Linked DNA regions of Ovis aries. The protein of the gene in region 5 interacts with the protein of the main gene of each other region in a pairwise test. Links are inferred from orthologs where the notes say so. Each region holds a gene or a part of one and is shown on either strand. Other genes may lie near its edges. The genes, in order: ENKD1, TRIM23, CHIC2, SH2D4A, CDR2, HDAC4 and C1H1orf216.

Region 1 (4,848 bases), on a different chromosome or scaffold from region 5:
GGTTGGCTGTGCTGACGGGCCTCAGCCTCCCGCCGCCACAGGTCCCTGCGCTCCAACAAGCTGTGATGCACAGACCCAGGGCTGATGACCCTAGGCAGACGTGGGCTTCCACCCTCCATAAGTGCCCCTTCCCAGGAGTGGGGGGAGCAGTAGGACCTACTAATGGGGCACGTGACCCTTCTGCGTGGCGTTGTAGTGCTCCTGGGCTTGCCGTTGCTGCTCCAGCACCTGTGCCAGGACTTGCAGCGAGCGAGAATGCCGCCGGGGGGCCCTCTTGGCAGTGCGGGCATTGTGCATAATGAAGTCCACACCCAGACCTGGGGCCTGCGGGACATGGCCAGCATGATGAAACAGCACTGTGTGGTGCCCCGGAATCCCTGCCCCACCTCCCAGCCCCCACATATCCTCTCACCTTAGCATTGGGACCTGGTAGGGTTAGCTGGGGACTGGGGACACGGGGTGGTGGGAGCCCGGGGCCGCAACGGGAATGGGCCCGCAGAAAGTGGGCTGGCTCAGTTCTAGAGGCAGGGCCGGGCTCCTGGAGGCCAAGGCAGAGCGGGGGGTGGTCAGTCAGGCTGAAGTCAGGGTCTCAAGCTGTAAGACCATGCCTCTGTCCCTCCTGTCTTTCAGGATCTTTCTCTATCACCAGTCCTCTGGACCTGGCCTCCTTCCTCTTGAATAAGTACTTCCATCACATCAGCATTTAAACCTGTGTGTTTTTCACATCTCTCAGAAAACATATTTCCCTCCCTCTACCTCAGTCCTGGCTTCAGTCATCGTTCTCTTTTTCTCTCCTTCCTAGTCAAGCTTTCTGGCTCTGTCCCTACCAAGGCCACCAACAGCTGGTCTCCAAGCCCCCAAATCCAGGGTCACTTCCCTGGTTTCACTATCCTCAGCCTCGTCCTCAATAGCTCCTGGGTCTCACTTCTGAGATCCAGACCTGATTCTCCATCTGCCTCTTGGACACATTCCCACTCCCTGGAAGCCCCACAAAAGCTTCAGCTTCAACACACCCACATATGACCTTGTCTTTTTTTCTGTCCTACTTCTCCTTCTCAGACCCCTGGAAAGAGAAGTGGCACCACTAGCTACCCCAGATAGAATCTTACCACCATACATACCCCTGCCCTTCCCATTGTCCTTAGAAATAAAGGTTTAAAAAAATGGATTTATGTGGCCCTTTATGATGTGGGTCCAGCTGACTTCTTAGCCTAACCTCATGTTCTTCCTCCCTCATAGTGAACTGAACACAGCATCCCCACTGCCCACACTCCTAAGTCCCTGGTGTTAGGACCAGGGACCCTGGAACCACAAGGTTCCATTTCTATAAAATGTTCTCCTCTATTCTCCCCTTGCCTAATTCCGACTTGCCCCTCAGAATCACCCAGCTGTCATCACTTCAGAGAAAGGCCACAGCCCCACTCTGCAGCAGGACCAGCTCTTCATCCCCTGTGACCTCAGCCCACTGTGGGTTTCCTCCCTCCTCATAACTCAAGTCAGAGTATAATGTCCTGTTGGCCAACAAGACGGGCAACACTTGGGGCTCCCTGAGGCAGGTACCTGCAGCTGAGCCTTGACACGCGACTCCACTTTGTCATACTTGGGTGAGCGCCACAGGGCCTTCAGGGGCCTGGATTGGGCCTGCTCCTGGCTGTGCTCCTGCTCACGGAAGCGCCTCTGGATTTCCCTGATCCGCCTCATGTTCTCCTTCTCATGGTCTTTAGGGTCCTTCCCTGGAGAAAAGATGTTGCCCTACATACAGCCCATACAATCCAACTTACCCCAGTGGACACACAAGCCCACACCCTGCCTCCCTGACATACTCTAAAGTCCACCACATAACCTTGTTCTCGTCCTCACACCATAATTATCTTCTGTTTCTGATGATTTTATACATATTTGATTATGAAGTATACTAGTAATCACCTTGCATATCCTATTCACCTCTTCACTTGTTTTACTGTCTCCCACCTTGATTCAATGATGCGCTTCTTCGACCTTGTTCTCCTAGCACCCATAGGGCCTGGAGCACAGCAGACACTCAACAACCAACCATGCATAAATCCATGAAGCTGAGCTACGGGCTTTTCCGGGGTATGCCTCATTTAGTCCTCTCCTGCGAAGAAGTCGTGCATTTCCCGCTCCTTCTACAGTTGGGGAAACAGACACTCTGAGAGGTAAAGCCTGAGCCCAGAGCAGGGAAGGGGAAGCAGCCGTCTTTTTATCTGTTTTGACTTCAGAGCCGCCTCGCTGTCCGTTCTGACCAGAACTTACTCTTGGGAGAGGCCCCTGGGCCTAGGGAGATACCCCCGAGCTGCAGCAGCACACCACCCACGCCGCGACGGCCACGCTCCAGGATTTCTAGGCCTCCCGGACGGATGCGAGGGGCGCGGGGAGGGGTGGCGTCTAGGTCCGGGTCCGTATCCGTCGTCAGCAGGTCCAACTTCGGCGCGTTTCCCTCAAGGCGCCCTTGGGCTGAGAGGCCAGACGGGGCAGAGTGCGGAGTCAGTGGTGGAGCTGGGCCCGACCCTTGCCAGGCCGCTTTCACTCCCTAACTCACCCGAAGACGGCCTCCGGTAGTAGTCCGGACAGAGCGTAGGGTCTGGGGGGATGGGCCCCGAGATGCGGGACGGACCCTCACACATACCGCCGCCGCCGTCCTGCAAACGTTGCACCTGAGGCCTGCCGGGCTACGCGTCTCTGGCTCCAAACCCGGCTTCTCAGCCCAGTGCCTCCTCCCTGGCCCCGGGTCCTAACCTCAGCCGTGCCCTGCCTGCGTTCCCGGCCCCCACCCCGCCTCCCGGCCCCGGCCTGCGCTCGCCACCTCTGCTCTCAGCCCACCTCTCAGTACCGTTGGCAGGCTTCTCACTCGGGCAAGGGGCTCACCAGAGCGGTTTTGCCGCCCACTGCCGCCACCCGACGGGTTTGCTGTTGCCAGGCAACAATGGTTTCCGTCCGTGAGGTCAGGGGCCAATGGCCTTGGCGCAAAGCCTTCTGGGGCCTGTAGTTCCAGCTGAGGGGGGAGCAGAACGACTGTCAGTTGCCCTTCCCAATCCGGTCCTCTCCCGGGTCCGCTCAGGGTCTACTAGTCTGGCCCCTCAGGATCCGCCCTCCATCCCCAATGCCCCTCAAGCAACCGTCGAGGAAGTGCTGATCCGCCGCAGCTATGGACTCCGCAGGGGCTGAGAAGCGGCCAGGGGCCCAAGAAGGGGCAGCCGTGGGGCAGTCACAGCTTACAGAGATGCCTGGTGGCCATGCTCAGAATTCTGAGGTGACCATCGGGCTGTCTAACCTTCAAACACTTGGGTCATAGCGCTTTAATAGACCAAAACTGCCAGGCCAGGTTCCACAGGCTGGGAGGGGCATGGGCTGGTGCCCTTCATCCAGAGTATTTAGAGTCTAATGGCTGGTCCCTGTATCCTTTACCTGGCCATGGTGACCAGTTACCTGTGTGTCACCGCTAGTGTCCAGTGATGGGAGACCAGGGCCTGGTGCCAGCCCATGAGGCCTGCCAAACCCAGGATGAAGATAAATGTCCAATAAGATCCACCTCAGAGCCAAAGATCCAGGAGAGACTCAAGCTGGAGGAAGACAGGCACAAACCAGAGGTGGAGGCCCTGGAGGAGAGAGGTCCCAGGCCTACGGCCTCCACTGTGAGGCCCAGTCATGGTCCGAAGAGGAAGCCGGTCAAGTGAGGGGGCTTTCAGAGGGAAGAGACTGGGAACTGGGGAGGTGGTGTGGGGGTGGCTCATACCCCAGTTGGATTCTTAAATGGGGCCTTACAGTAGTGTCCATCCTTATCCCCTGACACCACCATCATTCCTCACCTCTGCTGACCCTCCAGAGCCCTGATGTAGGGAACATGCAGAGCAAAAGTCTCAAGGCCTGGTAGGGGACTGAACTCCCATGATCTCTGGGTCCCTGTCCAGTCCAGGGCCTCACTGACCAGGAAAAGGACAAGGATCACGGCCTGGGGAGGTAGGCAGGCAGGACTGTTCCCTAGGACAGGGCACAGGAGCCAAGGCTGCAGGCTGGCTCCTCAGGCCTCCTTGTTCCCCAGCCTCACAGGCCCGAGCCACCAAGCCCATCCTAGGGCAGAGAGTGAGTTGCCACAGGGGCTGTCGCTGCAGAGGGAAGAGCCGGAGAATAATCAGAATGAGCCCTCACCATCTGCCAAACAGCACAAAAAGACCAAGAAGCGCAAGAGTCTGGGAACCCCAGTGCTCCCAGTGGTGGCCAGCACGGTGTCGGCACCCTCAGTGACCTTGGGGCCTGAGCGTGAGTGGCATTTCCTGAGCCTTCCCTTTTGTCCCAGCCAGCTGGACCCAACACAGCCCAGCTTGGCACTCCAGTCATTGCCCTGCCCTGGGTTCTTGTAGGAAAGGCCCAGCGCCTGCGGCCCCTGTACCAGTACATCAACTATTGCAACCCTGAACTGAACCAGGCAGGGGAGGGGGACAGGGAGGCTGAGGCTGAGGTGGAGCCTGAGTCAGAGCTGACAGTGGTCCCCGAGGAGGCGGGTGTGGAGCAACTGCAGGCATTGCTGCCAGTGGCAGGTGAGCTGGGCTCCGACCTCACTCTGCCCTGCCCCAGTATGTTTGTGCCCCCGACCCACACTCTGGTTCCCCTGGGGGAGGAAGCCAGTGAGGAGCCTGGGGGTCTGCCCAGCTTGGGGGTAAGCGGTTGCCTCAAGGCTGAGATGGACAAGTCAACTCAGGTGGACATCAACAAGATGCTAAGTGTCTGCAATGCCCCGCTTGTCCCCCCACTCTCTCCTCAGTACAAGTGATTATCCTGACCCCCACCCCATGACTCCCTGCCCTCCCAAGCCTGAGCCAGAGCAGCAGT
Region 2 (4,810 bases), on a different chromosome or scaffold from region 5:
AAATCATGTTTGATTAATGAATTTTTCCATTCCATGTCACAAATTTACCATAATCAGACCTCAAAAACATACATTGCCATATGTCTATTTTAAAGCATGTTTTAAACTATTAGCAAGATACTAATACTTACTCATTAGTTCTTTTCATTTATTACTCTTTATAGGGAAAAGTATAGCTATTTTCTTCCTTATTACCTCCTTGCAAATTGAGAAGTATCTCAGTGTTACATAAAAAGTCTTTCTTTTAGCAATGTTAGCTCAGGATATAACGAGGTTTCCCAAGGCCTTTTCTGAAAACAGCTATTTAAAATATGATATTCTGTGTGAAACAAGTTAAATTTAAAATTTTTAAAGCAATTATTTCACTTTAGTCAGTGTAGAATTTTAGCTCTCCTTTAAAAAACACTACAGTTTTAATATACATTTAAATGTGACTTAAGTTGCAAATAAAAAATAACATTTCTAAATTTTTAATAAACGATCTCAATTTGACATTCAATCCCTATCCCATTTTGTTTTGTTTCTCTTAACCACAGCACAAATATGACTTTAGTTGGTTACTAGCAATACTGCTATATAGATGATTCAGGATGATTCAAGAATTTTTAGAAAGATGATAGGATTTCTTTAAAGTGATCTTAACATTTTATTGCTATCCATACTGATGATTTGTATAATGTAAATAATGGCTTGTGGTGATTATAAAGCATTCCAGAATTATAGACCAAGACTATACACTTGAAAAACCTGCTTGACATAAACTATACAATAGTATTTAGCTTAATACAGAAATTCAGTGCCAGGAGGCAAATCCAAATAGACTGTATTTAAAACCTCTGAAGTTTGACATTTCCCAGAGGGAACTAGCGCAGTCTTGCTAATAATTAGTGAAAGTACAACCAGAGATAAAAATAAGAGCCTGAAAAAAATTCTTGAAAAAATAATAAATACTACTACTAGATACATTATAATCAGGTCTAAGCACAATTTTTAAATTGTGTTGTAGAAATATGCTAGGAATGTGATTTAAAAGTCAAGCAAAACAGGTAAAATAAATTTACAGAAAAAAGCAAGTTTACACATTAGTGTTAGACTGTTTTTGAATTACCTAGTAGACAAAACAGTTCAAGGGATCACAGGCAAATGTAATACTTTTATTTTTCACAGTTACTGCAATCAAATATTAATTTAATTCAGAAGTATTATATGCACAAACTACACTTGTAACAGCATGACCTTTTACTTGAAAAATAAAGGATGAAATATTACATTTACTTATTTACACACTGCCCATAACTGACAGACTTTTAATGCTTTGTTTTCTAAAAGTTTTGTTGTTTTTAAACGAATTATATTTGAAGAGACTGAACCAAAACAGTGCTACCCAGAAGTCACATCTTGTCATCAGCCATCATAAGGATTTAACTTCATCCTAAAGTATGTGATCAGTCATGCCTGACTCTTTGTGACCCCATGGACAGTAGCCCACCAGGCTCCTCTGTCCATGGGATTCTCCAGGCAAGAACACTGGAGTGGGCTGCCATTCCCATCTCCAGGGGATCTTCCCAACCCAGGGACTGAACCCGTGTCTCCTACGATGGCATGTAGATTCTTTATGAAAGAGCCCCCTGGGAAGCACTTCATCTAAAGTATACAGAGCATTTTAAAAAAAAACAACCTATAAAACCGAATCTAGGTATTTTTAAATATAAAATTAGACTGCCATAAGGGAGTTTCCTTAAAAAATGAAAAACAGTAAAGAGCGCACACTTTTTTTACTCACAACCCTGTAATAAATGTGATACAAATTTGTTACACATTTCTTCTTTTCCTTTTGTAGACATGTTTCTCTCAAAAAACCTCTTAAGGCCTTGTCATGAAAATCCTTGATCACATTTTATTGTTTAAATAAATGCACTTATTTTGGGAAAACATTTTAAGGTAATCATTTCTACTGCTTAAATAACTTCTCTTGAGGTAGAGATAATTTCTACTTAGATCTCTACCTTTTATGTAAGACCAACACTGGCTTCTGTATGTAACTTACTACATTTTACCTATAGTCATTCTCCTTAAAGATGCAATATTATTTTTAAAATAATAAAAAGTACTACTAGGTACTTTATATTGAAAAATAGAAGGACGAATTTAGAACTCTGACCTTGGAAATAATATATCCAGGTTCAGCTCTGCAAATCAGTCTTTTCACAAGTGAAGATCAACTAGAATATAACTGACTTTCACAGTTTTTTATTAATTGTTCTTCAGTGTAGTACTAATCTGATATCAGGCCTAGTAGGATTACATTTCAGTCTAACTCATTGGGTTTTATACAAAAGGCTTTAAGAGAGCTTTAATAAAATACTGTATAAAATATTAATCTTCTATAGCTTATAGTTCTTAGCATTAAAGATGTTCTGTTATACTGAACATTAAAGTAATCCTATTATCCAAAGATGCAGTTTGGATTTTATTTCATTAAGTCATTGCCTTTTTTGCTACCGAATACTGCCAAAATCCAGTGAAAAGGCAAGTTAAGAAGCCATGCTTCACTTCATACAGAGGTTCAACAGAACCTCTGGTTCACTAGACACTTGGTTGGCTATTCTTCCTTGAGTGAATAAACCTTCACCTGCTCTTTCACTGTGACTACTTACTTCCCAATGCTGGACTGAATACTAATGGATCCCAGTTTTTCATAACAGTAGTACCAACAGTAAGTAGAATGTGCATGTGTGTGTGCTAAATAATCTGTGTGTACACGTGTAATCTGAAAAACTTAACAAATGTATGTTTAAAAAAAATGTATACCCAGTAAATCCCTGTTCAATCCAATTTAATCTGCTCAATCAGCTATTTAAATTTTACTAGTTTTTAAAAGTAATATTGTACTGAATTCCCAATCCAAGACTCCTTTTATATTAATATATACATTGTAAATTAACTTTCAGATGTAGAATTTCTTACATCATATTATGTGCAAAATAACTCTTAACCACAAAACTTTAAACAACTGCTACATTTAAAATCAGGCAACGTCCAACACTCCAGCAGCCACAAGTTGGCGTGAGAGCCAGTCCAATCCTTCATACAGTCCCATACCACTTCGAGCATCACAGCCCTGAATATACCAGCTTCGGCCACAGCACAATTTATGGAGACTAAGAAGCTCAGTGATTTCTTCTACTGACAGAGCTCCAGCAACATCCTAAAAGATATATACACATTAAAAAATTTTTGCATAAGTCTATGAAAATTAGCATTTTTGTAATTATTGCTATATACAATTCTGCTGGTATCATTTGAAAGTGAAAGTGAAGTCGCTCAGTCATGTCCAACTCTTTGCGACCCCATGGACAGAGAAGCCATGGGATTTTCTAGGCAAGAGTACTGGAGTGGGTTGCCATTTCCTTCTCCAGGGAATCTTCCCCACCCAGGGATCAAACCCAGGTCTCCCGCATTGTAGACAGATGCTTTACCATCTGAGCCACCAGGGAAGTCCCTGGTATCATTTTAACAGAAGCCTAAATTCAACTTTCAATAATCATTCAGAGATTAATGAGAATAGAAAAAGAATTGTTTTGGTAATAACAGTTTGTAAGAACAGTCTTTTAAAAAAAAATATGTGGCTGCATCAGCTCATAGGATCATCATTGTGTCATGTGGGATCCTTCGTTGTAGCACATGGACTCTAGTCCTGGCACACAGTTTTAGCTGCTCCACAGCATGAGGGATCTTAGTTTCCCAACCAGGGATCGAACCAGCATCCCCTGCACTGCAAGCCAGATTCTTAACCACTGGACCACCAGGCAATAGTCTTGCAATGAAATCAATGAAGGCTCTGCCCCTGAATAAAAAATACTGCCCATCTCACTATAAGGCATCTACTTAAAAGGAAATTAATACACATGTATCGTAAGAAATGGCTCTTACGTAGGGTTTATAAAGAGTTTATTAAACTCACCCAAGGAATTCTCTGACAGTCCAGTGGTTAGGACTCAATGCTTTCACCGCCGGGGACCCAGGTTCAGTCCCTAGTCAGGGAACTAAGATCCTGCAAGCTGTGCAGCATGGCCAACAACAACAAAAAACTCTCCAAACAGCACTGAATACCCTTCTTCCCAGAAGCAACCAACAGTAACAATTGCTTTCATATTTTTCCAGAAAACTTCCACGCACACTCATGTAAATGAACAGTACACACCCTAGGTTTTTTTTTTTTAACACATATATTGAAAAATAAAGATACATTTCCATTATCAGAACAAGCAGAAAAAACTTTCCACCAGTATTTTTAACTTCTATATTGCATTCCACTGTAGGTGTAACATCAGAGAGGGCAATGGCACCCCACTTCAGTACTCTTGCCTGGAAAATCCCATGGACGGAGGAGCCTGGTAGGCTGCAGTCCATGGGATCGCTAACAGTCGGGCACGACTGAGCGACTTCACTTTCATGCATTGGAGAAGGAAATGGCAACCCACTCCAGTTTCTTGCCTGGAGAATCCCAGGGACGGCAGAGCCTGGTGGGCTGCCGTCTATGGGGTCGCACAGAGTCGGACATGACTGAAGCGACTTAGTAGCCGCAGCAGCAACAGGTGTAACATAATTTTCTTAACCAGTCTTATACTGAATATTTAAATTGAAAATATGTGCTTATGTGCTATTACATATACATACACATGGATGTAAACATATTTTTAAATACATACACTTGCAAAATTATCTCTAAGACAACCTTAGGGTAACTGTCTTCAGAATACATTACTAGAGATTTACAGGGTAAAAGGGTATATGCATCGAAACCTTT
Region 3 (4,154 bases), on a different chromosome or scaffold from region 5:
ATTATAATCAATTTTCCCCCTTGTTTCAACTCTGTACGGAATGGATGCTAAACAAAAAATTATTCAATTTAAACACTTTCCAGTTTGAGGAACTCCTCAGTCTTTTTAGAAACTGTCTTGATATGACCTCTATGTTTGGGTACTTTTCTACATTTAGTCATCTGAGCCACAAATCTTCATTTTCACTCTTTAGTTCTCCTGATTTTTGACCTGCCTCAAAAAAGAAGGTATTTCTATACATGGCTCCAATATACTCCTCCCCTAGCTGACTCATCATTTGGTGCCCCTGTGTTACTCTCCTGACCTATTATTTGCCTACAAAATGTTCACTAGCTTCCTACCCAGCTTCTTTATTTGAGCTAGAATCCTCTGTTTTTCAGTGTCCTCACCTATAAAATGAAAGGATTGGAGAGATGGCAAGATTTCTTTCTAGCTCTAAAATTTGATGACTAAATTATATTTTCCAGTCTATATTGCACAATGAATAGTAAAAGATATCTTTGACTATCTGAATTATTACTAGTTTTAAAAGAATATATCCTACAAACTTTTTCCCTTCAGAAGCCATACACAGAAGTTAACCATTTGTCTCATTTCTTCTGCCATATCTGAATAAAAGAAAATTTGGTCTATTTCATAAATTTACTCCAATATTCAAAACATAGTCAAGGAGAAATATTTCCCTTTAGCTAACAAATGAAATTTCTGTAAATTAAAGAAAATTTGAAGTCATACAGATATACAGATTATTTCTATTTTAACTTTGCAAAACTATTTGTAGGGAGTTTTTAAAATTATGTTTTTCCTCCACTCAACTGTCATAAATACACATACACACACGCATACACACTCCAAGAAAACTGAAGAAAAATACATTTTAAAGTAATTTTTAAGTTTTTAAAAAACTACTCTTCTAGATATTTTCTATGATGGTAAGAAAATATAATGGCTTTAGTACAAAAGTTGTTTATCTAAAAATTAATGACAATTTAACAGAGCAATAAGAGCACATATTTTACAGAGCATATAAGTTCAGAATGTTTTGGAAGGTTACATTATTTTAATTAATACTGCTGCTGCTGCTGCTAAGTCGCTTCAGTCATGTCCGACTCTGTGTGACCCCACAGACAGCAGCCCACCAGGCTCCCCCATCCCTGGGATTCTCTAGGCAAGAATACTGGAGTGGGTTGCCAATTAATTAATACTACAACATCATAAATATAAACATTAAAGAGAATGAGCATATTTTATGAATGATCTTACAGTTCTATCTGGAAATAATAGTATTGGGAATACTTTTATGCTTTGCTTTCCAAAGTAAATTTAGAAGTGTGCTAAATAAATAAATAAAAGCTTCTATTTTATTAATAAGCTGAGTGTTTGGGTTTATAAATATAGCAAATATTTTTTCACAAAATCCTTTAAATCACTTATATATCCATTTCTTCTCACAAAATACATAAACTCTCTCACCAGTGAGTTTTCATCTATGATGAAAATACAAGCCTAGTATTTTCATAGGTCAATCTCAAAACAAGTTATTCGAATGTGCTTTTATTATTATACAAAAGTATCAAGTGCCTTTTTACCATCATAAATTAACATGTTTGATATAATAGATAATGATAAAATCTACATTATTTAGTTCACTGAATAGAGCTATTCTATGAAAAAAGAGACATTTTAAAGACATCTTTTATGTTCACGGCTAGAAATGGGATTTGATTGTGTGATAATGAAAGAAAGAGAAAATGCTACAGAGAAAAATGATTTTATGATAATTTCCAACTATTTCCAGTATCCAGGCACTGTTTTCATTAATCTTTTATACACACATACACACACACACATGCTACCTATGATGGCTATTCTGTGTCAAAGAATAGACAAAATTTGTCAGAAATGATGTGCTAGATACTCAACCCCATGCTCAGTTCTTCTTCTTTTCATATATTAATCTTTTCATACTTAACACAAAACATCCAGGCTCAAGGGAGAATAAAAATTCACACTTTTTCTATAGTATTCTGAACTTTTCAAACTGAGAAAAAATTTTCAAGTAAAGCAAGTAGCTGGTAAATTAAATCCCATTCTAAGCTCTAAAACTGACTGTATACACATACCCATTAGATATCTTTTAAAGAATAAATTACTGGGTGAGCAACATCTTATCTCCTGTTTACTTTTAAGATACTTTTTACAGAATAATATCCCAACAACACTTTGAAAGATTCTTTAAAGGCCACTGAGGTATGGGCAGTTAAAATCTATAAAGGCTAAAGGTTTCTTAAGCTCCAGTGGCTTGGCTGAAAGGTTTTCTTCCATACTTGGAAACCTGATTAGCATTATATAAAAAAGCCATATCTGACTTGCTGCGTAACCAAAGTTGTGGTTATTCTTTATACAGCATCTAAAATTTCACACTCCATCAACACATGTTCAGCCTATTTTATCTTGGCAATTAATTTATTATTTTTCAGAACACAGTGAAGCCTTGTTTTCAAGTCATTCATAACTTTATAAATCAGTCTTGCACATGAAACCATGCATCTGTGAACCGTAAAAAATCCTTGCACTCAGGAGATTAAGCTTCTGACACCTTTGCTGATTAATAATCATGGAAAGAATAAGATCAGAAGCAAAATAAATGATCATTTAATAGAGAAACTCACAAAACAGCCCTTTAACTTACATATTCCATCATGTTATTCGTTTCACATTTCCTTTTGCTCAGTCTCCAGTGCAAGCACAGCTAGACAAGTAGGAGAGTAAAAGAAGAAAAATGAGCTCTATTTTATTGCAGCACACAGACTAACCCATTTGTCCATCTTTCATATTTTTAGTTCAACAAAAGCATCTGTTTCCATACTGTGCAGTTCAGACCTCAACAGTACGAAGCTGCTCCCCGTGGTACTCACCTTGTGGTATAACCTATTGTTTTCCCATTCTAATAACTTCTCAATCGATCTTCGTGTCTAGAAGACAAATGAGAAAAAAGTTTACTCCTGACTGGTTTTAGAAAAACGTGGTTTTGCAGCTGTTTTTTGTGTGAAAAGGAAAGAGATATAAGACAGTGACTGAGTATAGAGTGGTCTATAACACTAGCAACATTCTAGCACTAAATAGTAGCCTGAACAGAAATAGGACTCTGTTTTGATAAAGATATGGTTTGGGGCATTGTATTTTTTAACTGTTTCATACTTACTAGTCTCTGATTTATTTAAGTCTAAAAAGCTAATGTTATCCACTAAAAAATACAAATTTAAATCCCCATTTCTTTCAAAAATATTTCCGTAATATTTAGTAGTAATAAGAATACCTTAATACATATTTTAAAACAAAGCTATTTATACATTAACAAAATGAAAAGGGTCTTTAGTCTAAATTTAAAAAGGAAATGATTAAAAGTTAATAAAAAATATCAATCTATATCAAATCAAACTAATTTTTATATCATACTTAAAAATAATGTCCAAATTTTAAAACTAAGCTTATTTATTATTTTACAAAGATTTTCACAGGCAAAACTGCATTTAATCCAATCATTTTTGTTGGTTTTCAAATAAAATTGGTTTCATTTGAAAATCAAACTTTATTCAATACTACTGTTAAAGGTATCAACTAAGAAATTTATACAGAAGGTCACTTGATTTTTGCAGTGTACACTATGCAGCATGAAATGTTTCTTGCTTGGGGAGGAATAAAGAGGAGGATAATTCATGGTGCCAGGTGTTAGGATGAGACTGACACAGCTGCAGGTGCAAACAGGACAGTGTTGCCACAAGAAGAAAATGCAACTTGCTGCAGCTGCAGCTTCCTTGCAAGGAAAGGAAAAAAGCATCCAGCTCCATTAATGTGGCACAACTAAGTAAGTACTAATCATCAAATATGAAAATGTGACTATCAAGCAAGGATGAGTGAGGTGAAAAATTGTTATGACCAAGCTGATTTTGAATACTCTAATGTTACATAATAAAATGTTTAATATCTATTTAAGGTATCTACTGTAATCTAGTTACCATATTACCTTCTAGCATGTGGAACATGCTAAATACACACCACAGACACAGAGGTGCCAATTATAATTCGTAACTACCACTTACTGCCTTACATTTTCCAAGCTTATGTCAAAAAAATCAGAAACTCAACTAACT
Region 4 (3,243 bases), on a different chromosome or scaffold from region 5:
GTCACTGGTGGCCTGGGTTCAGCCTCCAATGCCCGCAGTGGGACCGGGTGTGTAGAAGGTGAAACGGGCAGGAAGGAGCAGTTGCCGCGGGGATGCTCACGTGGGTATTAGTTGGGCGCCTGACATGGACACCCGGCAGCGACCCCAGGGGCTCCTCAGTCACAGCGCCTGCTGTGTCCAGCACCTCAGTCTCATCAGGAAAGGGCAGGAAGGCGACTGGACTCAGCGGCCTGCGGGACGGGGTCCTGGCAGAGCCTGGATGCCAGAGGAGCGGCCGCCTGCTTCTTTCCTCGCAGGCGCGTTTCCTGTCCATGAGGGGCTGGCCGCAGGCCCTGCTATTGCCCCGCGTCGCCCTGGAGCTGAGCCCCCACACCCAGACGTGCGGGTTCAGGCCCAGCGGGGGAGACGAGGCCCGGGGAGCGGATGATCTCTAATCCTCCCTTCTCAAAGGTCTGCTTACAGAAAAGAACACAAATGGTTTCATTTGACGTTTTACACTGGATCCTTAGGTTTAATTCTCAATTAACTTTACTAACTTTAGTCTTGTCAGACTGAAGAGCTGTGATAATCCATTGCCTTCTCACCAGGAGGCCTTTGGGTTTCTCTCTAATCGTAATACCGAATGTCAGCATGGAAGAGGCAGGAGGTTCCATCTGCTGACGCAGGAAACGTTGCCCTCTGGCCAGAGCTCAGAGCAGCTGACCATCCTGCCAGCACGTATCTGCACACTTCCTCTCTGTCTTATCACGTCGTGGGCTCACCTGAGGAATTACAGATGAGGAGGAGCAAGCAGGGGAACCGGGAGCATGGGTCAGACCTGAGCAATCAGTGTGGACTAATTGGGGAAGGCTGGTCTTGAATTCCTGTGAATTCATGAGGCATCCAAACTATGCGTGTGTAGCATAACACGTGTGTGTGTGTGTGTTTGAAGAGTGGCATCCTTTTGAGCATCTGTGAAGACACAGATAGTACGCATATACACACATGGGGCTTCCCTGGTGGCTCATCTGGTAAAGGATCCGCCTGCAATGCAGGAGACCTCAGTTCAACTTCTGGGTCGGGAAGATCTGCTGGAGAAGAGATAGGCTACCCACTCCAGTACTCTTGGGCTTCCCTGGTGGCTCAGACAGTAAAGAATCCACCCGCAAGGCAGGAATCTGAGTTCGATCGCTGGGTTGGGAAGATCCCCTGGAGGAGGGCATGGCAACCCACTCCGGGGTTCTTGCCTGGAGAATCCCATGAGCAGAGGAGCCTGCGGGCTACAGTCCATGGTGTCGCAAAGAGTCGGACATGACTGAGCGACTAAGTACAGCACATATACACGCGTGTGTGCGCATGCCTGCATCTCTTGCGTCATTCCGTTAAATGAAGCCTCATTTAGGAGTAGTCACAGCAAAGGACACTGTCACTAACTCGCTGACCCCTGACCAGGGTGCCCGCCTTCGGCACTGTCAGCCTTTGGCACTGGATCACTGTCTATAGTGAGGCTGTTCTGTGAGCAGTGGGAGGTTTGGCAGCATCCCTGCCTCCATGCACTGGAGAAGACTAGAGCCACCCCCACCCCCCAGCCCCGGTGTCTGAGACGTTTCCAGACATCGCTCCAGTGAGAACTCCCACTGCAGATCTTGTAGGATCATCCCCAGGCCCCAGGGTCCCCATCAGTCAACTTGGGAGAGCTCACCCTCCCAGGATGACTGTCAACGGTCCTACCCCTCAGAAGCCACATGACGCCCATGCTTGTCACTGGGTGGAGACGTGTTCTGAGGGGCGAGCGTTCCATTCGTACTGCATACGCGGCAAGTCGCTTCAGCGGGGCCCAACTCTTTGTGATGCTATAGACTGTAGCCCGCCAGGCTCCTCTTTCCATGGGGATTCTCCAGGCAAGAATATTGGAGCGGGTTGCCATGCCCTCCTCCAGGGAATCTTCCCCACCCAGGGATCAAACCCAGGTTTCTTATGCTTCCTGCATTGGCAGGCGGGTTCTTTACCTCTAGCACCACCCTGGGAAGCCCTCCATTTGTACTACACATTTGCTTATGGAACCTACCCCATCCCAGAGAAGGCAATGGCACCCGACTCCAGTACTCTTGCTTGGACAATCCCATGGATGGAGGAGCCTGGAAGGCTGTAGTCCATGGAGTCACTGAGGGTCGGACACGACTGAGCGATTTCACTTTCACTTTTCACTTTCATGCGTTGGAGAAGGAAATGGCAACCCACTCCAGTGTTCTTGCCTGGAGAATCCCAGGGACGGGGGAGCCTGGTGGGCTGCCGTCTATGGGGTTGCACAGAGTCGGACACGACTGAAGTGACTTAGCAGCAACCCCATCCCAGGTACCAAATACCAGATGACGAACCACAGTACTGCTCCAAGGAAACCCAGTGTGGACTTAGGGCTGCTCAGGTTCTTACTGGCTTTATCCACACGGCTGTGTTTAGCAGAGGGAAGCTCTGGAAATGATGTGGCTGAAACCCCTGCCCTTCTTTCCCACAGGAATCCTCACCGTAAACAGAGCGAACGAGCTTCTGAGCACCTGCGTGCCGGGCAGCTTTCTGATCCGGGTCAACGAGAAGGTCAAGGGCTACGCCCTGTCCTACCAGTCTGAGGACGGCTGCAAGCACTTCCTCATAGATGCCTCCTTGGACTCATACAGCTTCCTGGGCGTGGACCAGCTGCAGCACGCCAGCCTGGCCGAGCTGGTGGAGTACCACAAGGTGCGGCCCCGTGCACACGTCGCTCGCTCGGTGACGGGTGTCCTGCAGCTGCTCTGACAGTGAAAGGCGGTTCCACGGAAGACAGCTGAGACGAGCAGGGGAGATCAGCCCCCCGCTTCTGTAACTCCTCCCGATAATAGTGCTCATGCTCAATTGTGTCCGACTCTCTGTGACACCACGGACTGTAGCCTGCCGGGCTCCTCTGTCCATGGGGATTCTCCGGGCAAGAATACTGGAGTGGGTTGACATTTCTTCTTCCAGGGGATCTTCCCGACCCAGGGAGCAAACCCACATCTCCTCCACCTCCTGCATTAGCAGGCGAATTCTTTTAACCGCTGAGCCATGTGGGTAACCTTCCCGATAACAAGGATTGTTAATTGCACCTCCTTTATCACTGAACCTGGTCCCTCCTCATCAGGGAGAACCCACTGGGGCAGAGAATGCACGAGATGATGCAAAATCTGTGCACTCCGATCACATCTGAGAACACTTTTTTTTTAAACGTATAGTTGATTTACAGTGTTGTGC
Region 5 (4,154 bases):
AGAGATCTATGGAAATGTTTCTGGAAGTACTCCAGGCTAAAGTTACTCAATTAGCTTTATATTAATACATATAGTTGATTGTATATTTACTCAATCATTAAGGTCTGACCTGGATACTTCATTTCTATTATCCTTTTCAATATCTTATAAGAGTCAGGGGGTGGGGAGAGGTGACTGCTGGGGCCATGGTACCACCTCTGTGTGAAAGCCTGAATACAAACAATTTTTAAGGAAAAAAAATCTTACAGAAGACATTAGATAGTGGAGTGTTATTTATAGATTTGGATAATCTCAAAGATCTTTGGATTTTTTTCAGAATGTCAATGATCTCTTTTAATTGTTTAATCATTTTCAATACCACGGAAAACAAAAGTAGAAAGACAGGTAACTTAGATCATAAAGCAATTGTGTTTGTAATCCTTACAGTAACAAATAGGCATCATTCTCTAATTATACAAATACTTGGACTTTTTAAATCTGTATTTGGCAGATGTGCTAAAATAAGTATTCACTACAGTATTCAGTTATGGTGATTTGTAGGTGCTTTCATGGAAAACACCAATACAAGGTATGAAGACTATTCAAATAAACGTACCACACAGTACATGATAATCTTCAGGTATATGCCCTGGGATCACGCTATGAAACCTTCCAATCAGTTGAAAAACAAAGCCCACAAAACAAAACAGGAATGAGTTTCTTGATCATGTAAGACACTTGGATATCACAGTTTTAAAATGCCTGGTTTTCCTGCATTTTTAGGTTTCTGCCCAATTCTATGAGTGATAAACTCAACTTTAGGTATGGGAAGTTCTATGCTCTTCTGATATAGAATATACTTAAAATGATAGCTGACGACTTCAATATCATTACAAGGCACACCTTTCTAGAATTATAAAAGCATTTTTTGTCACATCACTGGCTAAATCCATAAACCCTGAGATGGGGGAGGGGAATCTACTGTATGCGTCTTAATTATGATCACTATGTAAAAGTAAGAATACAGAAATGATAAATTTGTCTTAGTTTTAATGACAGGTTTATTTGTATTCAAAAACGGAAATCTGTAATTTCGACTGAAGTCAAGGACTATGTCATCTACTCTGCCTTTCTAGCACCTGGTTCAGTGTGCAATCAGAGCCTAGTAAGTTCTGACCATGATGAATGGGTTCTGCGTTCTAAGGTCTTCTACGTTTTCCTGCACAGAGACTTATAAGAGTCCTGGTTCTACTGTATCAATTTGAGAGGAAGGAGCTACAATTTAAGTGCAAGACTTTTTTAAGGTGGGAGGGTAGTCTGGGGCATGAAATGTTCTGATGGACAATTGTTTGGTTAATATCCATAACTATCATCTTTACAGTCACCTGGCCTACACATAGTTGGGCTACATTAATGGGACCATTTACAAGACAGCACTTCCATTTTAAAGCCTTGAGCTTACATCTTTCATATCAGGTACTACAATTTTAAAATTTTTCATCAAATTTAGGATGGTGTTTGGTTAAGGGGAGGGGATGCAGCCAAGCAGGGTTTACAGAGGGAGTCTCAACAGACAGTTTTCTTTCTCAGTCTGGTTGGTGGGTACAAGGCTACCCACTATATTTTTCTCTTGTACCTCTTTGCAAATCTTAAATATTACATAATTCATTTTTAAAAGAAAAAAAAAAACTAAATGTAATATTCACAGCTTTACTTTGCTTCACATATTGGTAAATACTGGACCATTTACTTCTAAGTAGACTTCACCAAGGGGGTAGAGAGAAATGTCTTTCATCATAGCAGATTTATGTACTGAGAAAGCTTAAAGACAGTAAAAATCAACCTCTATACACTTTCCATGGTTCTTTATACTTAAAAAGTCTATGTTATAAACATTACTTTTAATTGCAAGCGTTACTTAAGTAGAATACAATTGGTATAAGAGCAGAGACAGCCAATACCGCAAAAGTAACTCTCCCGTTGAGTAAATTACCTCGATTTCCTGTAACTGCTCCTGATTGGTTGTGTACATCTGCTGAAGAGAATCCTCCAACTCTGTGTTTCGATCCAGCAATGTCTTCCCAAGCTCAGCTGCAAGTTGGAGGTCTAGCACAACAAGAAATCCTATTAGGGGAGTGCAAACGATCTCATCTCAACATTTTACATAAGCCAGGGCTTAGAGTAGGAACGGACTGAAACCCAACCCATGTACAAAGTTTACCTTAGATCCCAGTGGAAGATGGAATGGCTCAGAAGGAAACCCAGATTCTACTTAAAGTTCAGTGACAATGGGGCCTTTTACCAGGTACTGTACTCTTGAGGTACCCTTACTGACAAGATGTCAAGAATAGTGATGTACTTTATGGAGGTGTATGCATTTGTTTAGGAATGATCATTCAGCATTGTGACAGAATCTAAGTTCATAATTAGTTGTCAAAGTGCAGGCAAACCTGAAGTCCCACGAGTTTGGCTGCCATGAATACAACTGTCAAAGCAAGTGTGTTACAGACCCTGGCCTTCTCAGCGTACTAAAACTTAAGCCAAAAAAAGGAAAATGACATCAGTGATAAGAACACTACCGCAGGCCTCTCTCATTTTTTCTATTTATTTTCATGCCTTCTTCAAGATGAGCAAACCAGATAAGCAAAGCAGCAGAACAGTTTGTGTGGTAACTCACTCATAGCTCAGACTTTCATTTAACACAGAACCATATTTCCATTTTAAACCTCGCTTTTCAACACTCTCTCTTCTTAGGCGTATGTGCATATATGACAGCATTAGTTTTGTTACACACAATCCCAGAAACAAAAATTCACTGATACAAAAAAGGACAACAGTTGTAACATAGGTGCCTGAAACACTTTTCTGCATAGTAAGTTGGAGAGGTCCTTTGATAACAGTGGAAAATGCACTGAACTGAGTAGGAAAATTTGGAGTTCAGTTCTGGCTGCCGTTTACCAAGTGAACGCTTTAAACAGTGACTTTAAACATCCCTACATGTAGTATTCTTGTGTAGAGAGATGACTGTCCTGTCAATACGATCGTGAAAATCAAATGAAATAATACACAAGGAAGTACTTTACAAACTATGCAACAGTACACAGGCAAAGTTATTAGTCTTCATTGATTCACAAGTGAATGACCTTGTTGCTGACTGCCATAGCACAACGAAAGTGTGAGCTATGACTGAGTTACCACACAAACTATACTGCTGCTTTGTTGCTAGACACCATGCTAAGATTTGGCTAGAATGCTGAATAAATGGATGAAGTTCCTGCTTTCCTGACACTGCCAGGTTTACAGGGGAAGTCAGACAGCAAATAAGTAAATAAACTTGAAAACTGTGATAATCACTATTCATACATGTATGCATATATTCAATAATACCAAACATCATTCTGGGGATATACAAGTGAACTCAGCTAACGCCCTGACCTCATGGAGCTTATACTCTCATGGGAGAAACAGCATGAGAAAATAGACACTAGATAGCAAAAAAATGTTGTTTTTTTTTTTTTTAAAAAAAAGGAAGGAAGAGGGAAGGAGGAGTATGGACGTGGGAGGCTGAAATTTAAGAACAGGCAACAAGGGTGATATTAGACTCCAGATGTGAAGGACTGAATAAGTGCCTCACGTAGGTCTACTGAGGGGACCAGCATTGGAGGCCGAGGGAAAAGAAGAGCAAAGACCCTGGGAGGAAGCATGACTGGCGATAATAAGGACTGCAGCCAATGAGGCTTGAGCACATCGCGTGCGTCTGCGTGCATTTTGTGGCTGGGGCAGGAGGAGACAAAGAGGGCTTCCAGGCCAGCTTGTTAAAGCCAAACTACAGAGATCAAGATGCTGGTTTTCACTGAGTGAAAGGGAAGGCTTTTGATCAGCTCCACTCTGGCCGTTGGGTAAGTCGGCCAAAGAGACTAAGGTGGCGGCAGGATGACAGGGATACTGCAGTCACCTGGGTGAGAGATCATGGTGGCTTAGACTAGAGCGGCAGAGTTGGAGATGAGCAGAAGTGGCAAATACCGGCTGTGTTTTGAAAGTAGAGCTAAAAGGATTTGTTAATCAATTGGATGTGCTATGTGATAGAGAAGAAAAAAAAAACCTCCAGGTTTTGTGATAAGGAACAAAGGATTTTCTACTTTAGAAAAGGAGGTCATGATGGAAGTCTCTCTTAG
Region 6 (4,154 bases), on a different chromosome or scaffold from region 5:
AATAATAATAATAATAAAAAAAATACCTTCCAAAGTTAAAAAAATGTACAAGCAAAAGTTTAGAAAGGAAAAAGGTTGACGTTATTACCATTCAGAAAACTGCTAAATGGTGAGAAAAAATGTAAAATTCACAAAACAATGCTTATTCCGGATCTTTTTGTGAAAAAATTCATACAAAATCAACAGCAAATTGATATCCTTTGCTATAAAAACTTATCAGGTACACATGTGCATGGAGGCTTGGAGTGGGGAGGGGTCAGGTCAGAAAATAATTAAGATGAAGGTACAATCTTGCAGGGCAGGTGTCCCATGGCGAACCTGTGATTGAAAGCTCTCCAATCTGGAGTTCAGAAATAACATGAGCTTCAAACTAGATCCCTTTCCACAAGCACCTTGAGAGCTGAGTCACAAGCCGTTCATTCGCCAGGGACCTTTACAATCTGCATTTATTTTATATATATATACTTTTTCTATAAATGCATTATAAATATTTTATCAAGATTTCATAAGAATCAAGTTTCTTAGCTTGGAATACATTGGAATATATATTATACATATATATATTTATTTATACCTAAAATTTTAAGCAATACTTCATGCTACTTGCTTTTAATAAAAAGCATTCCGATCGTAACACTGAAAGTGTGCCTAGGACATGCTTCACAACCAAATGGAGATGCTCAATTGTTATATGATGTACGAGAAAAAGAACACTTTGGATTCATTTAAAATTTGTTGGACTTCGAAACCCCCAACAGTATTTGCCACTATTTTGGAACTACCTCCATTTTTCTTCAACAGCAATAAAGCGAAACAGGGTGGCAGGACCTCAGCCCTCCAGAGCTGCTGGCCGAGGCGGGGACCACTTGTGAAGCGCCAGGCCAGTGCGAGCCGGCCTCCGGCCCCACCGGCCACAGGGAGCGGTCCCACCGACTCCTGCTGTTTATTTTTCTTAAGGCATTGTTCCTCGGACTTCGGAAAACCCAGCCACAAAAATCCATCAGAGCAATAAAAAAAAAAGGCACAAACGCGCATCTTCCGTCGGCTTTGAGAAACCAAAGCCGCACGGGCTCACATTTCTGCTTTTGTCCAGTTTTTTTTTTTTCCTTAAACGCTCGCCCGCTCCGTGTCCCAGCCCCACCGCGCACCCGCGGTGCGCAGGGGCAGGCCAGCGCCGGAGCGGCTGACTCTTCTCTGAAAAGAAATAAGCTACAGAATGAGTTGAGTGGTTTACACGGAGACTGTGGGATTGTGGGGAATCACCAAACCGTAAGCACCAGTTTTAATCAAGTTTGTTTTGTGTCGTGAGATCTTTGATTTTCATTTTCTTTTCCTCGGGTCGGCTCGCTCGGCAGGCGGCTCTGCCCCGAGCCCCCGCGGGCTCCCTCCCTCCGCGGCTGCCCTGCGGGGCCCGGAGCGCCCGCTCCCGCACGTCCGTGTGTCGGCGCGTCCCGACGTCTGCCCGGGTCCGGCAGGCAGAGGGCCGCCGGCTGCGGCTCGCCCCGCCGCGCCCGCGGGCTCGGAGGAGGCCGGCAGGACGCAGGGCGGCAGCAACTTTTCTCGGCGGAGCTTCAAGACGGAGACAGACAAACAAGAGACCCGCAGCTGCGGGAGCGGCTACAGAGGCGGCTCCTCTTCCATGGGCTCCTCGTCGGGTCTGCTGGGGCGGGCGGGCGGGCGGGGTGGCAACAGAGGAGAGGGTGGATGTGCAAGGTTCCTAGCTATCTCTGCCCCCCAACTCCGAGGCATCCCCGCCCCCAACCCCGAGCCACCTCCACCCCCATCTCCTAGCTACCCCGCCCCGACTCCTAGCCACCCCCGCCCCCTCAACTCTCAGCGACCCCCACTCTTCCCCTAGGGAAGTGTTCCTTCTGGCCCAGACGCCCTTCAAGTCTTTCTCAGGCTCTTGCTTCTGGGAAGAGGTGTGGTGCAGTCTGCCCTGGGGCGAGGGTGAGGCCCTGCTGAGCTCACCCACTCCCCGCCCTGCTGAGCTAGCACGTGCCCCCAATACACCCGGGAGCAAAGACCCGGGTCACCCGCAGATGGCGGCAGCACCCACCGCCGGCCAGTGTCCGTGCTCACCTCTTCTCAGGGGCCTTCACGGCCACAGACAGCGAGGCCATGGCAGTGACAGTCTCGGCTTCCTCGTTCTCACACTTCTGGGCCTCGACCAGGGAGTAGCCAGCGGTGGAGGCGAGCCTCTGCAGGGAGCGCCAGTACTGGCCTGCGGAAGGGGCGGGTGACTGCTCAGATACGGGACCCCATCCCTGTGCTTGGGCCCACGGGGCTCCAGCAGCACCCATCGCTGGTGACTCCAAAGCACCACGCTCTCCAGAGACAGAAGCCACGAGGTGGCCTGGTTAGAAACTCACAGAGGGTGGCAGTCTGGAAAAGCTTCCCCGTGACCAGGAGAACTGGGCCCTTCAGGGGCAGGACACCTGGGTGGGGGTGGGCTCCAGGGAGGGTCCCTCCCTCAGGGTGGGGCGGCTGGGACGAGCACTCCCTGACTCCCTGCTGGAGTCCCGAGATGATGGGGGTGGGAGCAGGCAGCCTCCCGGTGTCTCCTGGGCCTCAGGGCTCCTCATTCAGGAGGCCAGGAGCTCAGTGCACAGCAGGAGACCCTGGGTCCCGCCCATGGACACGGACACTGGCGACTGGGCCACCCCGCAGACCCAGGATAAAGGCGGGGCAGAAGTCCGTGTGCAGCCCCTGGGCTCCTGGGCCCCATCGCTCGAGGGGCAGGGCTGGTCTTTGGGCCAAGGGTACCCTGAACTGATGGAGTGGGGTTTGCTGGTCCAAGGGCAGAGGCCAGACCCGAGGACACAGGCTTCCATGCGGGTCCCAGCCTGTCAGTGGGGAGCCTGGAGAAGGGACCTCACACACCCCCTGAACCACAGCGCTTCTGCCCCACAAAGCAGAGCTGGTGACTTGGCTGTGGCAGGTTGTTGGGACGTCAAGCGGGGTGAGAGGAGAGTCACCAGCTCATCACATTCGCCCTGAAAGCCAGGTCTCAACAGGCGGGCCTGGGGACGCTGCTGGCAGTGAGAGAGAAGCAGGGGGTGGGGGCGGTATGGGGGGTGGGAGAAGGGCTGTGGAGTCGGGCCCCTCCCTTGGGGGGGGTCTCCTTGCTGAGCCCTGGGCCAGGCAACTTACTGTGGATTTCAATGACCTTCTCCATCGACCGCACGGCGTTGGCGTTGGGTCTCTGCTGTAAGACCTTTTCTGGGAGAGGATCGAGCTGGGGATGAAAGAAGAATACACGGTGAGTTCGAGGCCATCAGTAGAGTCCCTGTGCATGTTTGGATGGGACGTCTGGATCATAGAATCCCCGTGCGTGTTCAGATGGGACGTCCGGATCATAGAATCCCCGTGCGTGTTCAGATGGGACGTCCAGATCAGTGTCTTCCTCACGTGCACGTGCTAACAGAGAAGACAGCTTGAAAAAGCCAGAGGTGGTTGTGGCATTACATAAATGTTTTCACAGAAGTAAACTTATTTTCCTTAAGGTGTTTCCCCTAGGAGGCTCTCGGGTACGTTCGTGGGTGCCCGTGTGGGCAGGACACTAGCTGGTGTCCAGAGGCAGCTGGCGCAGAGGGGTGGCAGCATGGGCTCCACCGCTGGATGCACGGCACAGCGTCAGGGGAAGGGATGATGACTTTTCGGAAACATCAGTTTCATCACACTTGTCAACAAGGGTTTTATAGACAGGGCTTGAATATCCCCACTTTGGGCCTCCCTGGTGGCTCAGCGGTAAAGAATCCGCCTGCCAAGCAGCAGATGTGGGTTTGATCCCTGGGTCAGGAAGATCCCTTGAAGGAGGAAATGGCAACCCAGTCCAGTATTCTTGCCTGGGAAATCCCATGGACAGAGAGGCCTGGCGGGTTATGGTCCAGGGCGTCACAAAGAGTCAGACACAACTGAGCGACAAGCACATCTGCCCTTCAGGGTTTTCTTCCAATGATCAGAGAAAAGGTAGACAGAGGGTGTGAGCATCTCTGCTCCGAGCTCTCCCTGAAGTCCCTGCCGCAGGTGGAGTGGGGAGGCGCACACGGCCCACCTGCCTGACGGCCACAGGGCACGCCGGGTGTCTGCCACAGAGCCGCCCAGCACGCGGGCTAAACCGATCACAAAGTACTTGCTCCTCACAAGTGCAC
Region 7 (4,723 bases), on a different chromosome or scaffold from region 5:
GCTCTCAGAACCATACAAGACCACCAGGAAGACCACAGCCTTGACTATTCGAATCTTTGTTGGTAGAGTAATGTCTCTGCTTTCCAACACACTGTCTAGGTTTGCCATAGCATTGCTGCCAAGAAGCAATCATCTTCTGATTTCATGGCTGCAGTCACCATCCATAGCGACGTTAGAGCCCAAGAAGAGGAAATCTGTCACTACTTCCACATTTTCCCCTTCTATTTGTCATGAAGTAATGGGGCTGGATGCCATGATCTTAGTTTTTTTAATATTTAGTTTTAAGCCGGCTCTTTCTCTCTCCTCCTTTACCGTCATCCAGAGTCTCCTCAGTACCTCATCACTTTCTGCCATTAGAGTGGTATCATCTGTATATCTGAGTTGTTGATATTTCTCCCACCTATCTTGATTCCAGCTCATAACTCATCCAGCCTGGCATTTCCCATGATGTGCTCAGTATATAAATTAAACAGAATGACAGCAGACAGCCCTGCTGTGCTGATTTCTCCATCTTGAGTCAATCAGTTGTTCCATACAGGGTTCTAACTGTCACTTCTTGACCCACATAAAGGTTTCTCAGGAGACACTTAAGACGTCTGGTGTTCCGGTCTCTTTAAGAGCTTTCCACAGTTTGTTATGATCCACACAGTCAAAGGCTTTAGCATAGTCAATGAAACAGAAGTAGATGTTTTTCTGGAATTCCTTTGCTTTCTCTATGATCCAGTGAATGCTGGCAATTTGATCTCTGGTTCCTCTGCCTTTCCAGGGTTTTTAAACGTATTATGATTGAAAGATGAATCATATTTAATTGGTGGCATGGAGGGGGTAGCATGAGAAAGGTATAAGCAAATTGCTGGGTTTACTCAGTAAAGCTGTGGGTATGGAAGGGACCTCCTGGAAGCTCACTTGCCCTAAAGGCTAAATTTGTCACAGACGTCTTTCCGGGGCTGCCTCTCCCTGAGGGCAGCCAGTGCTTTTTGGTTTTATCATTAGAGTCGGCAATTATTCTGTTAATTAAGTGACTTTAATGAAATAAGCACAAAACGAACATATAATTTCAAATTGTGGAAAAAAAAAAAAAAAGCCTTGGGATAATATAATAAGGGGAACTGTCTGCTTAGGAGGTCAGAGAAGGTTTACCTGAGAAGAGATCTGAGATTTGAGAGGAGAGAGAATTTTAAGCAGAGGGAACAGTGCGGCAGAAAGGAGCGCGAGGCTGCTCAGCTGCAGAACCCAAGGGCAAAGGCTGAAGCCGGAGAGCAAGATGCTGAGCCCCACTGCGGCTTGCCTTAAGGATTTAAGCGGTAATGCGGAAGCCACTGATGGCTTTTAGGCTGGAGGGTGGTGATGACACGATCAGATTTTCATTCTGAAAATGTCACTGTGAGGCAAACCGATCGGGGAGACACAGTGAATGCAGTTAAGAAATTAAACAGGACCTGCAAGTCTCAGTCCAGGCTGCCGGAGGCGGGGGAGGAGGTTCCGGCGCTCGGACCTGCGAGCGGCTTCGCAGAAAACCGAACCGGCCCACGTGGGCCAGGCCGCCCCGCCCCGCCGCGCTGACGCCGCCCGACTCCGCAGTCCAGGCCTGGGCTGGGCGCAGCGCCCGGGAACCCGCACCCCACGCCCCGACCCGCGGGGACGCCCAGGCCGAGGGACCACCTCCCCAGCCCCGAGGGAGCAGTTCCTGCCGCGGGGACCGAGCCACCGGAGCCAGCCGGGCGGGGCGGCGCCTCCAGGCCGTGAGTCGGGGCCGGAGCGGGAGGGTTTAGACCCCAGCCGCAAGGGGCGGGGGTCGTTGCCTCTGCCCAGCTGCTTTTTGCTGGTCGGGGGGGTTGGGGGGAGGATTAGGGAAGGATGGTCTGGATCCTCTGTCTCCTGGGGATGGTATCCCTTTCCCGCAAGTCTAGGCAGGAACGGAAGCCGCCTTCGCTCATCCCTACCACCACCCCCCAGCCCCCCCACCTCCCACCTTCACCATCCCCGCCCCACCGCACCCACCCCCGACAAATTGCGGATTAGCTTGGCGAGAAGCCTGATGCCAGGGTCTCTCGGCTCCCATTTTACCTTCCCTGAGAACCCCTTGATCTTTAGCACCGCCCCCACCTCCTTCCAGCTTGCTTCACGGCCCCGCCCAAGTTTAGAAAAAAAGAAAACATTTGGGCGGGACCATCTCCTGGCACCTCGCTTAGCGGGATGGAGTCTGTAGGTTTCCAAGGGACTGTCCCTACACCGTTGCCCCCAGGACTTCTTGCCAGTACTGTGCTGGATGTGGGGAGGGGCCCTGCCACATTCACTGACACTCCCCCTTACTCTTACTGATTCCGTTTTTCTAATCCTAGTAATTTACAGTCAGGAGAAACTTCTTGTCAATTTAAATTCAGATCTGGGGAGAAGTCGGTTATTGGGAAGGAAAGAATAATGTGGTGTGTCCTCTCTCCATGGCCTCAGGATGGAGCAAGATAGAGGCAGGGACCCGGGATAGTAATAAACATGGAAGGAAGGGGTGAAGCCAGAAGAGAGGCTTGTCAGTGGGAGAAGGGCTTCCTCACTGGGCAGTGGAGGGAACCCAACCCAGCTCTCCCAGCCCTGAGCTGTCAGCAGCCCGGATCCAACTGCCCTATTCACTCACTCAGCAAGGAGGTACTGCCACCTGCTCAGTGCCAGGTTCTGTGCTGGGTCCTGAACATGGTAGAGGTTATAGAGAGGAATTCCATGTCCAGTAGTGGGGCCAGGAGGCTGCTATGACAAGATAGAGGAAAGTTTATAGACATTTACTGACCATCAACTATGTGCCAGGGACAAGAAACGAACAGGCATAAGACTGCATGTATCCAAGCAGTGAGGACCCAGAGGAAGGCACAGTTGGCTGTGTGTTTGTGTATACAGGATACAGGAGCAGCGGGGAGAACGTCAGGATGGTTTCAGGAAGGTGGGGATTTTAGAGCCGAATCTTAGCATACAAAGACTTCCCTGTGGCTCTGCTCTGTAAAGAATCTGCCTGCAGTGCGGGAGACCTGGGTTCCATCCCTGGGCTGGGAAGATCCCCTGAAGAAGGGAAAGGCTGCCCACTCCAGTATTCTGGCCTGGAGAATTCTGTGGACTGTATAGTCCATAGGGCCGGCTTTCACTTCACTTAGTGTATGAAAAAGAATCTGCCGGTGGAAAAGGGAAGAGCTGGGAGGGAAGGGGAGAGGAAGTATATGTTGGGCCAAGGGGATTGTGGAAGGAGAATAATGGTGTGTTCTGAGATCTCTGAGCAGTTTGGGATGGTGGGAGGGGCTGAGAGTGGTAAGAGACAGGTCTGAAGCAGTGAGCAGGAGCCAGAAGAAACACAGCCTCTTAGGCCAGGAAGAGGTTTAGCAGGAGGTTAGGGCAGGAGCCATGACAAATTTACATTTTAAATTAGAGGCAGAGAGGTCAGTGAAAAGTCATAGCAGTCAGTAATCCAGTTTAGAGGTGGCCCACACCAAGAGAAAGGGGAGATGTTTGCACACGAGCGTGCACGTGTGAATGCCTGCAGTTTCCGGTTGCTGTGACAGGAGAGTGGGCCTGCTTGGCTAAGGACACTGAACAGGGAGCAGGGCAGGCCGTGCAGACTCTGAGGAGCCTGTGGTTGGTTGCAGAATTCAGCAGCAGTTGGATCTGACTCCCTGTCAGATCCGAGAGCCACCAACACATGGAAGTTCTCGAACCTCCAGCAGAAGATGAGGTCATCTGGGGAGAAGTGCCTACAAGGAGAGGACAGCTTGCCTCAGGGCCGAGGGAGAACCCTGTGAGGAGACTGAGAATCGGCAGAGAGGGAAGAGGACAGCCACCAAGGGAGGTGTTAGCAGAGTCAAGGCAAAGGGGTGTCTGTTGCTAGGTTCTCTCGACTTCAGGCGCCCTACCCTCGCCTGCTCTGACTCATTCTTCTGCTTCCCCCTTACAGACCAGATGTTCGCCATCCAGCCAGGGGTAGCTGAGGGGGGTCAGTTCCTGGGGGGCCCGCCTCCTGGAGTATGTCCACCCGAACTTCAACCAGACAGCAACTCCAACTTCATGAGTGCCAAGGACGCCAATGAGAATTGGCACGGGCTGCCAGGCCAAGTGGAGCCCGTACTATTGAGGAGCTCCTCCGAGTTGCCCTCTGACAACCAGGATTTCCAGGCTCCTGGACTCCCTGAGGGGGAGATCCGCAGCCCACCGGAGGGGGCAGAGATTCCTGGAGCTGGGTCTGAGAAGACGGGTGGTGCCAGCACAGTCTGCTCCCCGCTGGAGGACAATGGCTATGCCAGCAGCTCCCTGAGCGTTGACAGCCCTAGCCGCAGCCCTGAGTCTGCCTGTGGGACGCCTCCTGGCCCTCCAGGCCACCTTCTGCCCTCGGTGGCCCAGGCCGTGCAGCAGCTGCAGGCTCAGGAGCGCTACAAAGAGCAGGAGAAGGAGAAGCACCACGCGCACTTGGTGATGTACCGCCGCCTGGCCCTGCTCCAGTGGATCCGGGGCCTGCAGCACCAGTTGGTCGACCAGCAGGCCCGTCTGCAGGAGAGCTTTGACACCATTCTAGATAACCGGAAGGAGCTTATCCGCTGTCTCCAACAGAGGGCAGTACCATCCAGGCGCCAGGACCAAGACTAAGGGTGTCTCTGTACAGGGGTGCAAGGGTTTCTGTATATATTTGCAGACATGTGTGTGGTTATGCACAAACAAGTACAGATCATTTGCTGATACAAGTGCAGGGAAG

The links.
Region 1: the proteins of CDR2 (region 5) and ENKD1 interact in binary tests that used the Homo sapiens proteins (3 or more experiments, as listed by UniProt). The two-hybrid records come from large-scale screens. The link is inferred for Ovis aries from reciprocal best matches to the Homo sapiens genes CDR2 and ENKD1.
Region 2: the proteins of CDR2 (region 5) and TRIM23 interact in binary tests that used the Homo sapiens proteins (3 or more experiments, as listed by UniProt). The two-hybrid records come from large-scale screens. The link is inferred for Ovis aries from reciprocal best matches to the Homo sapiens genes CDR2 and TRIM23.
Region 3: the proteins of CDR2 (region 5) and CHIC2 interact in binary tests that used the Homo sapiens proteins (3 or more experiments, as listed by UniProt). The link is inferred for Ovis aries from reciprocal best matches to the Homo sapiens genes CDR2 and CHIC2.
Region 4: the proteins of CDR2 (region 5) and SH2D4A interact in binary tests that used the Homo sapiens proteins (3 or more experiments, as listed by UniProt). The two-hybrid records come from large-scale screens. The link is inferred for Ovis aries from reciprocal best matches to the Homo sapiens genes CDR2 and SH2D4A.
Region 6: the proteins of CDR2 (region 5) and HDAC4 interact in binary tests that used the Homo sapiens proteins (3 or more experiments, as listed by UniProt). The two-hybrid records come from large-scale screens. The link is inferred for Ovis aries from reciprocal best matches to the Homo sapiens genes CDR2 and HDAC4.
Region 7: the proteins of CDR2 (region 5) and C1H1orf216 interact in binary tests that used the Homo sapiens proteins (3 or more experiments, as listed by UniProt). The two-hybrid records come from large-scale screens. The link is inferred for Ovis aries from reciprocal best matches to the Homo sapiens genes CDR2 and C1orf216.

Annotation. Positions count from the first base shown.
Region 1 is NC_056067.1:34,775,387-34,780,234, forward strand, and holds the start of ENKD1 (enkurin domain-containing protein 1), read right to left. Parts: upstream 2,947-4,848; 5' UTR 2,887-2,946; exon of another isoform or gene 2,842-2,886; intron 2,661-2,841; 5' UTR 2,646-2,660; coding exon 2,561-2,645; intron 2,476-2,560; coding exon 2,275-2,475; intron 1,734-2,274; coding exon 1,561-1,733; intron 539-1,560; coding exon 413-538; intron 325-412; coding exon 161-324; intron 61-160; coding exon 1-60. Other genes in the region: C14H16orf86 (uncharacterized protein C16orf86 homolog), read left to right, coding at 3,167-3,271, 3,465-3,691, 4,031-4,278, 4,380-4,789. UniProt on the Homo sapiens protein: Microtubule-binding protein which regulates microtubule organization and stability. Promotes the stability of astral microtubules and facilitates the proper orientation of the mitotic spindle.
Region 2 is NC_056069.1:14,081,156-14,085,965, reverse strand, and holds the end of TRIM23 (E3 ubiquitin-protein ligase TRIM23), read right to left. Parts: intron 3,209-4,810; coding exon 3,029-3,208; 3' UTR 623-3,028; downstream 1-622.
Region 3 is NC_056059.1:70,246,364-70,250,517, forward strand, and holds part of CHIC2 (cysteine-rich hydrophobic domain-containing protein 2), read right to left. Parts: intron 2,976-4,154; coding exon 2,919-2,975; intron 2,753-2,918; coding exon 2,693-2,752; intron 1-2,692.
Region 4 is NC_056079.1:37,575,744-37,578,986, reverse strand, and holds part of SH2D4A (SH2 domain-containing protein 4A), read left to right. Parts: intron 1-2,494; coding exon 2,495-2,715; intron 2,716-3,243. UniProt on the Homo sapiens protein: Inhibits estrogen-induced cell proliferation by competing with PLCG for binding to ESR1, blocking the effect of estrogen on PLCG and repressing estrogen-induced proliferation. May play a role in T-cell development and function.
Region 5 is NC_056077.1:20,572,020-20,576,173, forward strand, and holds part of CDR2 (cerebellar degeneration-related protein 2), read right to left. Parts: intron 2,086-4,154; coding exon 1,973-2,085; intron 1-1,972.
Region 6 is NC_056054.1:2,403,740-2,407,893, reverse strand, and holds part of HDAC4 (histone deacetylase 4), read right to left. Parts: intron 3,239-4,154; coding exon 3,154-3,238; intron 2,225-3,153; coding exon 2,083-2,224; intron 1,661-2,082; coding exon 1,618-1,660; 3' UTR 1-1,617. UniProt on the Homo sapiens protein: Responsible for the deacetylation of lysine residues on the N-terminal part of the core histones (H2A, H2B, H3 and H4).
Region 7 is NC_056054.1:10,673,748-10,678,470, reverse strand, and holds the start of C1H1orf216 (UPF0500 protein C1orf216 homolog), read left to right. Parts: upstream 1-1,579; 5' UTR 1,580-1,742; intron 1,743-3,931; 5' UTR 3,932-3,936; coding exon 3,937-4,617; 3' UTR 4,618-4,723.